Linked DNA regions of Oryctolagus cuniculus. The protein of the gene in region 3 purifies or fractionates together with the protein of the main gene of each other region. This does not show direct contact. Links are inferred from orthologs where the notes say so. Each region holds a gene or a part of one and is shown on either strand. Other genes may lie near its edges. The genes, in order: KLF5, PML and RARA.

Region 1 (4,001 bases), on a different chromosome or scaffold from region 3:
GATTGTTATTTGGGGATTGCCAGTACCTTCATGGAATGGTTTTCAGGACTGCTCAGGTCTAGAAGGTTCTTCGCAGACTGCAGCTCTCCTGGGGTGTGCCCTCCCGCTTCATGGAGTCTGGGGTTGAAGGACTGTTTGTTGTGAGTCCATTAAGCTCTTCCTTAGTTGACCTTCACAAGAGGCCTTAGAATCTGTAAATAAATTTGAACAATATGTATGTGTTCCTTAAGGCCTTCAAAGGGAATGTATTAGTGTTTGCTAATGGAAGATTTAAGAGAGACATTAAGAGGCAGCCCAGGAATCTTAATGTGGAACTCCTCATTTTGCTTCTGATTGGTGGGGTTATTGTGAGGATTGAGTGGGATAATGAGAGGGACCTGGCTCTGGCCTGTGTGCTCAGGAGATGTTTGTGCTGCCCTCTCTTCCTCCCACTGCAAATTTTTCTGCTTCACATGTTGATAAAATATGTTAAATGGCTTTCTCAGTGTGGACAGTATGTATATGTAACTTGGACGTTTTCCCCCAAAGATTAGGGACCCTAGCAAAGATAATCCTATGCCTTGAAAATGGAATATTAAAAAGTACATATTTTATTTGAGATAAAGTTGAAGCTTGTCTTGATGCTGTGCAAAGTTGTCATTTTTTTCTTTTTGCCTTTGGAAGGTTTCACATTAACAGCATGAGAACTTAAAAATGCAGTTGATGTTGAAAGAGCTTAACTAAATATTTTAAATTGCTGGTATTGGAAAGCGATTCTGTAAAAATCCAATTAAACCTTGGAAGTTCTGTCCTGTCGAAGTACAACGTAAAGGAAGTCAGCTGGGCTTCCCAGAAGTACTGTATAGTGTTTCTGGCTGCCGAAGAAAGGCCTGAGTCTGCTGTTTGGCCAGAAATTGGGTACCAGCTTCCTCCACGATGTTTTCCTTGAACAGTGTTGACACTTGAACAAATCCCGCAGAAAGTGCCCAAAGTGGGGAATGGTTGTCCTTGCTTTCATAGTAAGACTTGGCCCCAATAACTAATGTTCCACACAGTGGTAGTATTCTTGGCTGAATAATCTATAGATGTACATAAATCGAGAGTAAAACCCCAAGTGTTTTAGGAACTTTAATGGCTACTGTATTTCAACTAATCAGTAAAGTAAACTTTTAAAAATATTGGTGCAGTTTATTGCTTCAAAGCCAATAAAAATAGTGAACAAAGAGAGTCTAGTGTCCCTTGTTTCTTAAATAAACTTTGAAAATTCAGTTCTGCTGCTATTTAATTATTCAAAAGACTAGAATGATTTCTTTTAAAATTGGGGCACTTTAGGAAGTTTTTGTCCTTGTTGGAAACATCAGAAATAACTTTCCATTAAGTGACAGTATTTAGCCAATATATTTCTGTGATTTAGCTTTCACAAGAAACAAAAAATAAACACTTCTGTCAAATTATTTTCCCATTTTATTTGTGTCTGAAACATGTTAGCTGCATTTACTAGTATTAATATTTCTGTGTATCAGATTTTATGTAAATATATGTGAAAGAAATGTGGCTTATTTCTCCTGTCATTTTAGGTTTGAATGTATTAGCTTAAATTTCAAGTTAGCATTTACTGAGGCTGGGGTTGGAAGGGAGTGCCCACCAGAGTTGAGATGTACATTTTTTAAAAATAGAGTTGATAGGAACCAAGAAGTAAATTAAAAATAAAAAAGGTCTTAGGTCTGAGCCAGGAGAGCAGAGGTAGGAAAAGTAGCTGGAGATGGTGAAGGTTGGGTGTTCTGGCTTTCTTATGTCTTTATGGGATTTTATTTATTTAAGAGTCAGTTTAAAAGGTGTCTCATTTAAAACTCAGCTGTAAACGAATCCTGCTTTAACCTGCAAATTCATCTCATATTCTTAACTTTAAAAGCTACTGATGTTCATAGGTAATTGTAACAAAATAAAATATGAATATAGGAAATAGTCTTTCGTTGAACAGTAATTAGTATTTCCTATATTCAGGATATATTTAGCATTCATTTAGGGGACTACATGATCTCAGGATTAATCTTAAAACAGAATTAAGACTGCTATAAATATTAAGTAGTTTTGAAAGTGAAACAGCTAGCAAACTTTGGAGTACATTAGGAATAATACAAATTGCAGAATGGAAGGGGCTCAGGTATCCATCCGCTGTTCCAATGAAGAGAGCTGGGAAAGACTAGCATAGGTAGATCAGATGAGAGATTTTATTCACTGTTGTACCCAAGCATTCCAGACCATACCTGGAATTTAAGAAGATGCTTGGCAGATTGGCTGTGGGATAAGTTTTGATCATTTTTTTTGGTTTAACACTTGACAAAAATTCATAGATCAGCAAATGTTAGAGTTGTTGTGGTTGTTTCAATATTATCGATACCAAATTTTGTGATCTGGTTTCAAATAGAGTTGTGGTACCCGAAATTCGTTGTTAAGGAGATTTGAGCAATCCCTTTTCGATGAGCCCCAAAACTTTTCCCCTCCCTATCCCATGTTTTAGCTCTTAGTCCTACTACAGCAGTTCTACCTAGTCCTAGTATAGCAGAACCTGTGTGTGTCCAATGAGGCCACTCAAGGTCATCTCATCATTTCATGGAATGTGTGTGCCAGGGGTATATAGAAATAAAGGCGCTGGTTCGTCTTGCATTTGCCTAATAGTTGCCATTGTTCGGTTCCTCAAAGGCCCGCAGAATATTTTTTCTTTGCATAAATACTTGTTAAATGCCATACATGGAATGGCACTTCCCTAGGTCAATGAGAGGGGATTCAATGTTGATTCAGTTCATCATGGAACTCGGGAGCTTCCCTGCCTGACTTGGCCCCCGATTTAAACCCAAAGCCGTGCTGCTCAGGTGCTGTCTACGACGTCTGTCTTCCAAGCAGGCCACCTGACCCCTTTTGTTGGTTGCCACAGGTGAGAAGCCGTACAAGTGCACCTGGGAAGGCTGCGACTGGAGGTTCGCGCGCTCCGACGAGCTGACTCGCCACTACCGGAAGCACACGGGCGCCAAGCCCTTCCAGTGCGGGGTGTGCAACCGCAGCTTCTCACGCTCGGACCACCTGGCCCTGCACATGAAGCGGCACCAGAACTGAGCGCCGCCGCCAGCCGCCCCACGCTCCGCAGCCCTCCTGGCCACCTTTTCCGCTACAGACTTAACCTGTTCCTATAAAATAAGAAAACAAAACAAAAAACTGGAAATGTATATTTTGTATATTTGAGAAAACAGGGAATACATTGTATGAATACCAAAGTGTTTGGTCGTTGTCAGAATCCGGAACGCTCGCTGTCACGGCTTTCCTGGGGCCGGCTTCATCTCCTGACAGGCAGCCGCATGCGGGTGGGGCGGGGGCGCCATCGCTTAACGGGACAGTGTTTGGTAAACAAGTCAGCTGGCAGGCGCCGGAAGAAGGATGGATAGACTGTGTGTGTGTCAAGATTTTACTTGACGTCGAGTAGGTTTTTTGAGGATAGATGATTCCCGATAGGTGCGCAGCAGTACCTGGCAATTCACAAATAATAGCCATTGAACAAATGTGTTTTGGGTTTTTTTTTATATATGAGTTGCCTATATTTGCTATTCAAGATTTTGTAAATATGCAAATCAGCTTTATAGGTTTATTACAAGTTTTTTAGGATTCTTTTGGGGAAAATAAATCATATTTCTTTTTGAAAATAACCATGAGTACATTCACAGAATTTGTCGTAAGATACCTTTCAACATCACCAAATTCATTTCTTTAAGGGGAAGGAATACTAATCATTCAAATGAACTTTAAAAGCAAATTTCATGCACTGATTAAAATAGGAGTGTTTATTTTAAATAAAAAAGACGTTTTATATGAATTGTAAACTGAAGAGCTTAAAGATAGTTACAATATACGAAAGTTAAACCTCTTACAATAAGCTAAACACAGTATCGTTTTTAAGAAGGACTGTAGTTTTCACATATGGCAATGTTGAATTGATGATGTTTTCTTATACTGAGATGTTTGCTCGTTCA
Region 2 (5,628 bases), on a different chromosome or scaffold from region 3:
GTCACTTCCTGCCCTTTCCGCTCCCAGGCAGCCGCTGTTCTTTGGGGTCTGCACGGCAGCCAGGACAGGCGTCCTCACACGGGGGCCGTGGTCAGCACAGGACGGCCCCGGGAGGCGCCGCGCTACCCCCGCCCCAGGGCTGTGGTCAGGCTGAGCGGCGGACACCCGGCCCATGGGGCCTGGGGAGCCGCAAAGGGCTCTGCAGCAAGACGGGCCCAGGTAAGAGCCGAAGCTCTGGGGGCAGCAGGGGTCGCTCCTTCGGGGGGCTGGGGCGTGGGCGGCCACTCACCAGCCCCCGGCCCCACGCCGCCCCGCTCCGGGGACCAGCAGCCCTTCTGCGAGCCCAGAAAGCCGAAGCTCGACTGCTGGAAGCGGTCAAAGTCCCCGAGCGGCAGCGCCCGGTACCCAGACCTGCCGAGCATGGCTCCTGACAGGGGGGCGCGGCCAGCGCCGCTGACCGCCGGCCCCAACCCTCAGGCCCCGCCCCCGCGGCCGCCGCTTCCGGCTTCCCTTGCGCGGCCCCGGCCGTGGCCGGAGAGGAGGCAGCCCGGGCTGCTCCCGCCGTCGCACGGCGCCACCCAGCGCTGGGAGGACCGCACTGCGGCCGGGCCGTGGGGGTGTGGCCTGCTCCTGCTCTTGCTCCTGGCTGGTACTTGGCCTTAGATGGACGCTCCTCGAGGTGTCCACACAGCCCGGCTGGCTCGGGGTGGGTGGTGGCGTAGACAAGTCCCGGCTGGAGGAGCTGCTATAGAACCCCAGAATTGGCCGGCGCCGCAGCTCACTAGGCTAATCCTCCACCTTGCGGCGCCGGCACGCCGGGTTCTAGTCCCGGTCGGGGAGCCGGATTCTGTCCTGGTTGCCCCTCTTCCAGGCCAGCTCTCTGCTGTGGCCCGGGAGTGCAGTGGAGGATGGCCCAAGTGCTTGGGCCCTGCACCCCAAGGGAGACCAGGATAATGCCATCGGATCAGCGCGGTGTTGATCACCTCCTAGGTGGCCCCAGCCTCCCCTCCCCCCTAAGGAAGACACCCTAGGAGAATCCTCTCTCGCCCAGTCTGAAAACTTGGCAGGAATTTCACACTCAGCAGAAGAGGATAGGGGGAGGAAGATCTGGACCCCATGCCCTTCCAAGCACTGACCGCTCAGCATCTCCCCAGCTGCCCCTGGCCCAGCAGGTGCACTGCCTCCGTCAGGCTGTGTGACCTTGCTGTCCTCGGTCCGAGCGGCTAGAAGCCGTCTCTGATTCCGTCTGCAGAGGGGCCTGTCGGTCCCGACCGATGCCTGCCCCCGAGAGCTTGCTGCCTTGCTGCCCGCGCCTCTCTGTCTCACGCCTGAGTCCTTCCTGGCAGAAGAACTCTGTCCCAGCCGCGTCCGCTCCGGGATGTCAGCTACAGGGGCACGGGATGAATCAACAGGGGGTAGAGATGCATCCCGGACGCCAAAGGCGGGAGAGCTGGGGGCGACAGTGCTGCAACGAGAGGAAATGCAGGCTGGGACCCCATAAACCGACATCAAAGGGCGTTCCGAGCTCTCCAAGCCCTGAGTCTCCAGTGACCAGCCCCCTCTCCAGCCCAGCCGGGGCTGCAGCCTGGGGTCTCCGAGGACATGGTCAGCTCCTGGGTGGCCTGTGTCCCCAATACCCCTGCTGGGGCTGGGCCAGAGCTGCAGGAGCTGTGATCAAAGTGGAAAGTCCCCCAGCCCCAGTCGCGACCCCTCCCCGCGCCCCAAGTCACTTCCTCCCGAGAGGCGGGCCCTGGCCGGCGCCTCCCCTTTGGCCTGACTCAGCCTCTCGTGCCGTTTCTCCCGCCCTCCCCGATGCAGACGGAGAATCGAAAGTGAACCGGACCCATGCAGCAGGATCCCGCGCCCGCCGGGTCCCCGGGCTCCCAGCGCGACGCCGGCCCGACCCGCACCCCTACCATGGCGTCCCCGGAGTTGCGCTCCGAAGGTGCCCCACGTAGCCCCAGCCCCGCAGAGGTACTGCGCTCACATGGCGGGGGAGGGGGTCGCTGGGAGGTGGGGGAGGAGGGGGGATAGGTGGGAAGAGGGGGGTGCAACGGGAGACTTGGCCAAGTACCTCAAAGAGTGCACCAGGACAAAGGACCAGGCACCAAAAGAGGTGCCCGGCCTCTCGCCTGGGGCCCGCGTGGGAAAGGGAGGGGACTAGCAACTCCAAGTTCCCAAGTTGGAGGTGGAAGTCGGCGGCCCGGTGGGCGCCCGGAACAGGTGAATGGGCAGGGGCCGCGCGGCTTCTGTGATCTCTTTCCGGAAGCCTCCAGGTGACCTGCTGGGAACCCCCTTCCCGCCTGCGCCCCACCTCCCCCACACACCCACAGGCACTGTGCGGTTGGCTGGCTCTGGGAACGCTCGGAAGCACGGCCTTGCGTTATTACAGCCAAGAATCGGTGGCTTAGCAGTGCTAGTTAGCACTAAGTTAGCACCGTTAGCACCGACTAGTTAGCACTGCCTAGTGCCAGGTGATAGATGAAGTACTTCCGGGGCTGCACTTTTTTTATATATATATGTTGTGGCAAGAGAGACATCAGGAAGAAGTGACCAGTGACTCCCTCCTAAGTGAGCGCATTTCACCCTCGGCCACCCTGCCCCCCAAGTCCAGCTTTGTCGTCACCCTGGAAACTGTGCCCTGCACGCGGTAGCGCCTGGCTCCCGGGTCACCTCTAACCCACTTTCCCACTGTGAACGTGCCCGTCTGGGCTGTTTCTGTAAGCGGGCCCGAGTCGGGGTTTCTCTGCGTGTCTGGCGTAGTTTGTTCAGCGTGATGTCTTCAAGCTTCAGGCATCCAGAGTTCGTTCTGTCCCGGGGCTGCGTGAGGGACAGTCCCTTCACGTGCAGAACGCATTGCACTGCCCAGCTCTGGGTCGAGCGAGGCCTGGGTTCGCGCACCCGGCTGCTGGGAACGGTGCTGCTGTGTGCACACCCTGGGGTCCCAGGGGGCTGGTGGGCCTCTGTTTTCAGAGTTTGATAGTTAGGGATGGGAATTAGGGCTAAGGTGGCTCAGTGCTTAGCAGCTTTGGGGGGAACCCCCTATCTGTGTAGAAGGGGGTACCTGGCTCACCTACCATCCAGACTGAGCTCCGTGGAGGTGGAGGTGTGTCCTGGGTCACCGCTGGGTCTCAATGAGCACATGCTGAATAGATGGGGTACTTGGGTCGTGCGTGGAGCAATGACAGGGTGGCAGGGGATGGTCCGGTCCCCCCCCCCCAGCCACAGGGACGGATGGGCGGCTGCAGAGTGGGGACTCCTGGGACTTTTCCAGGCCTTACCTCCTCCCTGTTGTCCTCCCTCCCCCAGCAAGCCGAGGAGGAAGACTTCCAGTTCCTGCAGTGCCAGGGCTGCCACACCCAAGCCAAGTGCCCCAAGCTGCTGCCTTGCCTGCACACGCTGTGCTCGGGGTGCCTGGAGGCGCCGGGCCTGCACTGCCCCATCTGCCAGGGGCCCCGGGCCCTAGACGGGGCGCCCGTCCTGGACAACATCTTCTTCGAGAGTCTGCAGCGGCGCCTGGCCGTGCACCAGCAGGTGGTGGACATGCAGGCCGCCTGCACGCGCTGCAAGGAGCCCGCCGACTTCTGGTGCTTCGAGTGCGAGCAGCTCCTGTGCTCCGGGTGCTTCGAGGCGCACCAGTGGTTCCTGAAGCACGAGGCGCGGCCGCTGGCCGAGCTGCGCAGCCAGTCAGTGCTGCAGTTCCTGGAGAGCACCCGCAAGTCCAACAACATCTTCTGCTCCAACCCCAACCACCGCAGCCCGATGCTGACCAGGTGAGTGGCCCCGGCCGGGCGTGGGTGCTGGGTGGGGGCATGCCGGAGCTGCTGGGGGCCCGGGGTCTGCAGATCGGGGGGTCCGTGGTGGTGACCCCAGTGGGAGACACCTGTCACCAGACCGCCAGAGGCGCTGGATTCCAGGAGCAGGTGCAGCGGTCAGAGCCGGAGCACCGGCAGCCAGGGCAGACGCCACAGCAAAGACGACCAAATCAGGTCAGAACTACTGTATTAACCAGCAAGCTCCATTCTGTTTTTACGCATGTAACCATTCCTATGCAGAGTGGACAGTGAGAGAGAGAGACAGAGAGAAAGGTCTTCCTTTGCCGTTGGTTCACCCTCCAATGGCCGCCGCAGCCGGCACGCTTCGGCCGGCGCACTGCGCTGATCCGATGGCAGGAGCCAGGAGCCAGGTGCTTCTCCTGGTCTCCCATGGGGTGCAGGGACCAAGCACTTGGGCCATCCTCCACTGCACTCCCGGGCCACAGCAGAGAGCTGGACTGGAAGAGGGGCAACCAGGACAGAATCCGGCGCCCTGACCGGGACTAGAACCTGGTGTGCCGGCGCCGCAAGGCGGAAGATTAGCCTAGTGAGCCACGGCGCCGGCCACCAATAAGATTTATTTAAGAGAGCGAGAGAGTGAGAGAGAGGGCGCAGAGTCTCCGAGCTTCCGTCATCTGCTGGGGGAACTGTGCTGATGAGTTTGAGTATTTCAGTTTCCGTGGAGACCAGAGATTTGTAACATGTTCACAGAAAATGAGGGCTGTGAGAAGGCTGTGCGAGGACTCCCAAAATGTTTGCGCCAACAGAAGCGTGTCTTTTAACGCCCGTGTCCCAGGCGCGTTCGGAGAGCCCCCTCTCGGATGCAGATGAGAGAAGTCTCTGAGGGGTCCGTGTGCGTGGGAAGGGGCTCCTCCTCGCTCGGCAGGGTAGAGCTGTGCACCTGCTGACTGCCAGGGGCTGGGCTCTGCCTCCAGAGAGACTTCTGCACCAGCGGCGAGTCCCCGCTTCTGTCCCCCCTCCCTCACCACCTGCTGTCACTGGTTTCGGTTTTGTTTCTTTTGACGGGCGTGGTGCTTAGTGGCTGGTGTGTCTCCTCCTTGGTGGGTTACTAGGAGCTGCACTTGGGTTTGTTTGTTGTTGTTTTTTTTTCTTTCGAAGAGTGAGTGTAGCGCTTGTCTCCAGGCACCTGTGTGTTCCGATGCTGACCTTTGCCCTCTGCCTGGTGTGTGCAGCCAGGGGTGTGTCTGCGCTGAGCTGCCCACGCCCGCTCCAATCTGTCCCGCTACCTGGGTTTCAGGAGCTGTCCCCCATTCTTCCAAAAAAAGGTTTGCTTTTCTTTGGCTATTATAGTTGATGAGGTTTTTAAAAACTCGTGTATTCATTGAGATTTTGGTTTGCATTGCATTAAATCTGGGGAGAATTGGTTTCATCTCTTGTTACATCTTTTGGATTTTGTAGCTGTATTCAGATGGGTCTTAGACTCATACTTAAACTCTCAAAATGATTGAGAATGGGACCTTTTTAGTGATAATTTATGATTATCATGAGCATTCACTAAAGCTCATTGTGTATGTTCGTGTTATTCACCATCTTGTTGAGATTTTTATTAGTCCTAGCAGTTTTCTCTTAAAAAAAAGAAAAAGAGGGGCTGGAGATATAGTGTAGTGGGTAAAGCCTGCAGTGCCGGCATCCCATACAGGTGCTGGTTCAAGTCCCAGCCGCTGCACTTCCCATCCAGCTCTCTGCTGTGGCCTGGGAAAGCAGTGGAAGATGGCCCAAGTCCTTGGGCCCCTGCACCCTCGTGGGAGACCTGGAAGAAGCTCCTGGCTCCTGGCTTCTGGCTTTGGATCGG
Region 3 (5,637 bases):
GGAGGGGCTTTGTGCACACCCAGGAGGGGTGAGCCAGGTAGTGCACACCTGGGCGTGTGCATGGCCTGCTGTGAGGCAGTACTGCTAGGTGGCTGGAAGTAGGTGCTAGGGGGTTATTGTTAGCTGGCTCAGGTTCCTTCCTCTTAACCCAGCTCTGGGCTCAGCTCTTCCCTGGAGGTTCTCCCACCCTCCTGCCTGCCAGGGAGGAGGGGAGGAGTGGGTCTCTGGGGCCCAGGGAGACTGGAGAAGGTCGGAGGGTAAAGGATTCCTAACCCCTTAAGAGACACACACACAGCCCCCCTTGGTTTAGGAAGAGACAAGGCAGACAGCCCACCTCTACCCTCCCAGCACCTCCTGAACCCTAGCCTTTCCTACTGTCCTGCCCCTGACCTTTGCCTCCAGGGCAGAAAAGGCTGTAGAAGCTGCAGAGGGGAGAAGGGAGGGTGAGTGACCGCAGGCTTTGGAAAAGGGGACAGAGATGAGGGGTGATGCCAGGACCATTCTACCAGAGCCGGCTCGGTGGGGGTAACAGGGACAGGGTCATCAGGGCTACTACACCTTCCACTGCCTTCTCCACAGGACTGGGTGGAAGCTGGGACCCGAGCCCTGGGGCTCCAGCCCGGCTCTCCCTGAGTGTCTGGTGGGGACAGCTCAGTTCTTCCTGGCACTGAACTAGAGGGGGAGGAGGGCCAGAGTGAGGCAGCCGATGACTCCCCCAACCGCTGGACGTGGGGAAGTGGGGTCTGGGGTGGGATAGAGCCACAGACCTGGGCTTCCTGTTCCTGTAATCTCTGGGTGGGGGTGTCAGTGAAGTCCCCAAGGCTGGGGGTTGGCTGTGATGGCGGTGTGGGGGCTGCTCTGAGGCACAGGAAGGAGCAGGACCTGGAGGCCAAGGTCAGGACCCAGCGCAGTATGGAGTTTGTGGGGGCAATGTTAGCCACCCTGGAAGGAGCCCGTTGGTGTGGGTGGAGGTCTCCCAGCGCCTGGACCTGCCTTGCAGCCCCTCCCTGAGAATTCTCCCCTCCCCCTTCCCCTCTGCCAAGGGTTGCAGGAGAGGCTTAGCTGTGGCAGGAGACCTTTTGGGTCTTGCAGGGCCCTGGACCTTGCCCCCCCCCCCGCAGTCCCCTTCTCATGCACTAGAGAACAAGGGGTGCACAGGACGTGGCTCCCCATCTGTCCCCCACCCGTCTGCGCCGCTCACGCCTCCACCCGCTCCCAGACGTCCAAGAATGTGAAGCACGTGGATGCCCGTAGTGGGGGGAGGGGGAGATGCTTATCAGCCGGCCGCTGGGCTAGGGGCCTTCTTCCGCCGCCGGGCTACACCCGGAGCCACCCCCACCCGCTTCCCAGGAGGAGGAAGGGCAGCACCGAGGGCCCAGAGCCCACTCCCCAGCCCTCCCCGGGGGCTGTTTAGGGAGCTGCAGAGGAGAGGGCGCCAGCTGGATTGGGAAGGGGAGTCGCTGGCCGGGGGCCCGGCTGATTTCCTGCTGATCTCCTCCAGGAAACCGGCCCCTTGTGCGAGCCTGCGAACGAACGGCTCTGGGGCGTGGGGAATCCGGAGCGCTCAGCTCGCCCGGCGGCCAGGAGGGAGGTGCGGGGGAGGGGCGCCCTGGCGGCGGCGGGAGGGGACGCCTGGCTTCCTGGTCCGCTTCCAGCCCTCCGCTGGGCGCTGGAACTTTGAGCTGAGAAGGTGTGGTTCTTCTCCCGCCTGAGCCCTTCTGCAGCTGGAGAGGGATTTGTGGGCCAGGGCCTCTGGGTAGGGAGGTTAGGGGAGAGGCCGGGTCGGGCGGCCTCTCCCTGCCTCTCCCGAGTGCAGGAGTTCCTGCTGTATCCTAACTCGCGCAGAAACTGAGGGGCGCCTGGGGTCCCTCACACTTTTGCCTTGGGTCGTTTTACCTGGTCTTCCTAGGCTGCGGGCTGGAGGCCTTGGCCCCAAGCTCTGGATTCAAAGGGCAGAGCCAGAAACCTCAGAGCTGGGTTACCTGGGAGAAAGGTGGGGATATTCTCAGGCTGGGGTGTTGCAGCCTCAAGGGCCTGCGGTCAGTGGCCGGAAGGGAGGTGGGAGGTGTCACCGAGTCCGAACTGTAGCCCCTGCGTGGGTTGTCTCCCCCGTCTTGCCAAAGATCATTTTAAAAAGCACTTTCCTCCAGTTCTGCACACACCCTCTGGACTTTGCCTTAGCTCCCAATTTCTGTGTGCCTTTCCCGGGCCTTAGAGCCCTGCCTCTCCCCGGGCCCCGCCTCCCGGCCTCCACTCTGCTCCCTGCCCCCTGCCCCCTGGGTCCTGCCGCTGCTGCTGGTCTGGCTCATTTTTGGGGTGGGGCCTTGGGAGGAGGCGGGGCCCAGGGCAAAGGGTGGATTAACAAGGGAGGCCAGTGCCTTCTTCCTCTGCTTGTTGGAATGCTGAGCGGGGATTCTAGGCCATGGCTGCCCCCCCCATGTCCTTGACACCCCCCCCCCCAGTCTGGATTGTCTATTGTTACTGTTTTTACGTCTTGGAAAAAGTTAGCACAACAAAGGGCTTCTTTGTGGCTCACCCCTCTGCCTCCTGGCCTCACCCAGGCCCCCCAACCCCAACCCCCCCCCCCCCAGCAGCTGTCCTCAGGCCTCCCTGCCTGTCTGATTTGCTTGTCTGGCCTGGTGAGAATGAGATGGGGGGGAAAACCAGGGCGGTTGGGTGTGGGGATGAGGAGCTGAGGTTCTGGGAGAGGTCAGTGAGGAGTGAATCTGTGGACCAGTGGGGGACAGCATCTACTGTCCCTTTGCTGCAGGCTGGTCTCTGGGCAGGGCAGGGCTGTCAGGCTGATGTGGGCTCTGGTGCCAAGGCTGTTAGCCTGGGTCTCGGGCGTGTCTGCGGCTAAGGGGTGACGCGCGGCCGTGAGGTGTTTGAGCCAGGAGCTGTGGGCTGGGGCGTGGAGCTGGGCTGTCAGGATCGCATCCTCACCCTTCCTAGGCCTTGCACAGGTGGAGGTGGCCAGGGCTGCAGGAGAAGCTGTACGGTTCTCATCCAGCACACTGCACCCCCCACCCCTGCCAGCCCATCCCTGTTCTGCCTGGGGCGATGGCAGAGAGCCAGGCACTGGGGAGGCTTTGGTCAGTGGGGGACAGCTCCTGCTGGCTAGGTCACCCCTCCTGGCTGCCCTCTGGGGGCTGAATTAACAGGAGGGGAGGGGTGGTAACCCGGACATACTGTTGAAGCCAGACAGACAGAGCATTGATGGGAACAGACCCCCCTTTGTCATGCTGCCTCCCCTGAGGCAGGGGGCACCCAGGGTGATGGGCTTCTAGGGCTCTGTCCCCAGGTGGTCTCTCCACCTATCTCAGGGGACCCCCACCTGCTGTGCCCCAGCCTTCGGGATTCTTCTTTGTACACCCGCCTGGGTCTGCCTGGGTCCTCGGCCTGGGGATTGTTTGGGTGGAGGAGGGGCCCTGGCTGTTGGCAGAGGGGGGTGGAGGGAGGGGCAAGCGGAAGCAGAGGGGGTGAGGGAGTGGCTGGCTTTGAATATCCTGTTGACCCCCATTTCCTCTGCCCCCAGCTTGTGTCTTCTCTCCTCCCTCCTCATCCAGCCTTAACTCCTTCCTAACTTGGGGGAGTACCGGCCAGGCCACCCGAGGCAAGGCCTAAGAATAGGGCCGGACCACCTCCTCCCAGGCAGAGCCCAGTACACAACACACACCCACATCTGATGGTTTATGATCTCAGCTTTCTGTGTTGAGGACGGGGTCCTGGGGAAGTAGACGGGCGTGATGGGGTCCCAAGGCTTCCCCCAAGCTTGACTGGGGAGTCCCAGCTTTCCCGAGACCGTCCCTGCCAGCAGTAGTGAGGCTGGGAGAGGCTCTGGAGGGAGACCCTGAGCAGGGCGGGGCAGGGCATCAGGGATGGCGCCTGGTCTCTAACCGCCCCCTCCCTTTCTCTCTCTCCAGCCATTGAGACCCAGAGCAGCAGTTCGGAAGAGATAGTGCCCAGCCCTCCCTCGCCACCCCCCCTCCCCCGCATCTACAAGCCCTGCTTTGTCTGCCAAGACAAATCCTCTGGCTACCACTATGGGGTCAGCGCCTGTGAGGGCTGCAAGGTGAGACTGGGGACTCTGGGAAGGGCAGTCTTGCTTAGATAAATGGGATGTCCCCGCTGTCACGCCCTGGGAGAATTCGGTTGAGGGCAGGGGCTGTCCCTGATGCTGCTGCTCTTGCTTGTGTGTGGAAGTTGCCAGCAGCCTTGAAGGAGGAGGGGGTGCCAGCAACAGAAGCTCCCCCATAGATGAGCAGGGCTCCCCCCAAACCAGAGGCCCCCTCCTGCCCGAGCTCCCCCCGCCCCCGTCTCCATGCTCCAGCCGGCAGGGCGTGCTCCGCTCTGCCACCGCTGCCCAGGTTGCCATGGTGAGCTGGCTGCCGACCGGCTCTTGGCTGGGGACCCAGGAGGCCTGCCCCCGGCGGCCCTGCCTGCACCTCGCCATGACAGCCTGGCAGGCGGCAGTTAGGAGCGGAACCCTGCCTCGGCTTCCCCTACAGGTGCTGAGGCTGTGGGCTCCCCAGCGTCTGCATTTTTCCCGTCCTCATGTTAGGCCCCAGCAGCTCTGGGCCTGGCTGGTCCTCTTCCTAGGACCAGAGCCTCCACACCAGTTTCTCTCTCTAGATATTAGGGTTTGGAAGCTGTACAGTCTTGGGGCTCTGGGCTGCCCATCAGCTACCTGTCGGTGTGGGACACAGGTTCAGGGCACAGCTCAGGACCTAGACTGTGTGTGTCTGCCTGCTCTGTCAGGTCGTTTCTGACTTGTTCCTCATCTGTGTCCCTGGGGAGCCTGGGTGTGGGGCCTCTGACCAGCCCGGGTCCATCTCTGAGTGCTTCATGCACGTCTGTCCGGGTGGTGACTGGGTCTTGCCACCTGGCTCCTGAGCGTGTGTGAGTGCATGAGTGCCTCCGTCTCTGGCCAGCTCACGTGTCTGAGTCCAGGCTGTGGGCTCCAGATTCCCGCCTCTGTCCCAGCCAGCCCCACGGGTTACAATTCCTGACTCAGCAGCAGCCCGAGGTCCTTCTCCCTAGAGGGAAGGGGTCAGGTGTGTGGATGGAGGCTGGGGGAAGACTCCTGCCCACCTCGTAGCGCTGAGGCAGTAGCGGGCTTCTCCCAGGGGTGACTCATCGCCCCATCTTTTCTGGCCTGCTCAGGGGGGTGATGGGCGAAGGCTTGGGAGCAGCCGCTGGCCTGGCCCACTTTCCCCAGCTGCGACTGCCGGCTGGGCGCCACTCCCGCTGTGGGTGTTGGTGACCTGACTCTCCCCTCTCCGTGCCCAGGGCTTCTTCCGCCGCAGCATCCAGAAGAACATGGTGTACACGTGTCACCGCGACAAGAACTGCATCATCAACAAGGTGACCCGGAACCGCTGCCAGTACTGCCGGCTGCAGAAGTGCTTCGAAGTGGGCATGTCCAAGGAGTGTGAGTGCCACGGGCGGAGGCCGGACTGGCCGTGGGTGGGGCCCGTGGTGCTCCTGCAGGCCGGGCCGTTGGGCCCTGTGGCTGTGTGTGCACGTGTGTCTGAGCATGCGTGCTGGGGCGTGTGGCTAAAGCTGCAGGGACCTGTGAGATTCTGGCTGGCTGTGTGTGTGTGCAGGTCCAGTGTGCATGTGCGACTGGCTGTGTGT

Evidence for each region.
Region 1: the proteins of RARA (region 3) and KLF5 purify together in Homo sapiens (affinity purification with western blotting; 4 studies listed by BioGRID). This does not show direct contact. The link is inferred for Oryctolagus cuniculus from reciprocal best matches to the Homo sapiens genes RARA and KLF5.
Region 2: the proteins of RARA (region 3) and PML purify together in Homo sapiens (affinity purification with western blotting; 6 studies listed by BioGRID, with this or other methods). This does not show direct contact. The link is inferred for Oryctolagus cuniculus from reciprocal best matches to the Homo sapiens genes RARA and PML.

Annotation. Positions count from the first base shown.
Region 1 is NC_091440.1:39,668,479-39,672,479, reverse strand, and holds the end of KLF5 (Krueppel-like factor 5), read left to right. Parts: intron 1-2,914; coding exon 2,915-3,093; downstream 3,094-4,001. UniProt on the Homo sapiens protein: Transcription factor that binds to GC box promoter elements. Activates the transcription of these genes.
Region 2 is NC_091443.1:109,482,225-109,487,852, reverse strand, and holds the start of PML (protein PML), read left to right. Parts: upstream 1-1,780; 5' UTR 1,781-1,845; coding exon 1,846-1,974; intron 1,975-3,309; coding exon 3,310-3,773; intron 3,774-5,628. Other genes in the region: STOML1 (stomatin-like protein 1), read right to left, coding at 290-422.
Region 3 is NC_091448.1:22,126,041-22,131,677, reverse strand, and holds the start of RARA (retinoic acid receptor alpha), read left to right. Parts: upstream 1-2,407; 5' UTR 2,408-2,422; coding exon 2,423-2,639; intron 2,640-3,923; coding exon 3,924-4,072; intron 4,073-5,289; coding exon 5,290-5,431; intron 5,432-5,637. UniProt on the Homo sapiens protein: Receptor for retinoic acid. Retinoic acid receptors bind as heterodimers to their target response elements in response to their ligands, all-trans or 9-cis retinoic acid, and regulate gene expression in various biological processes.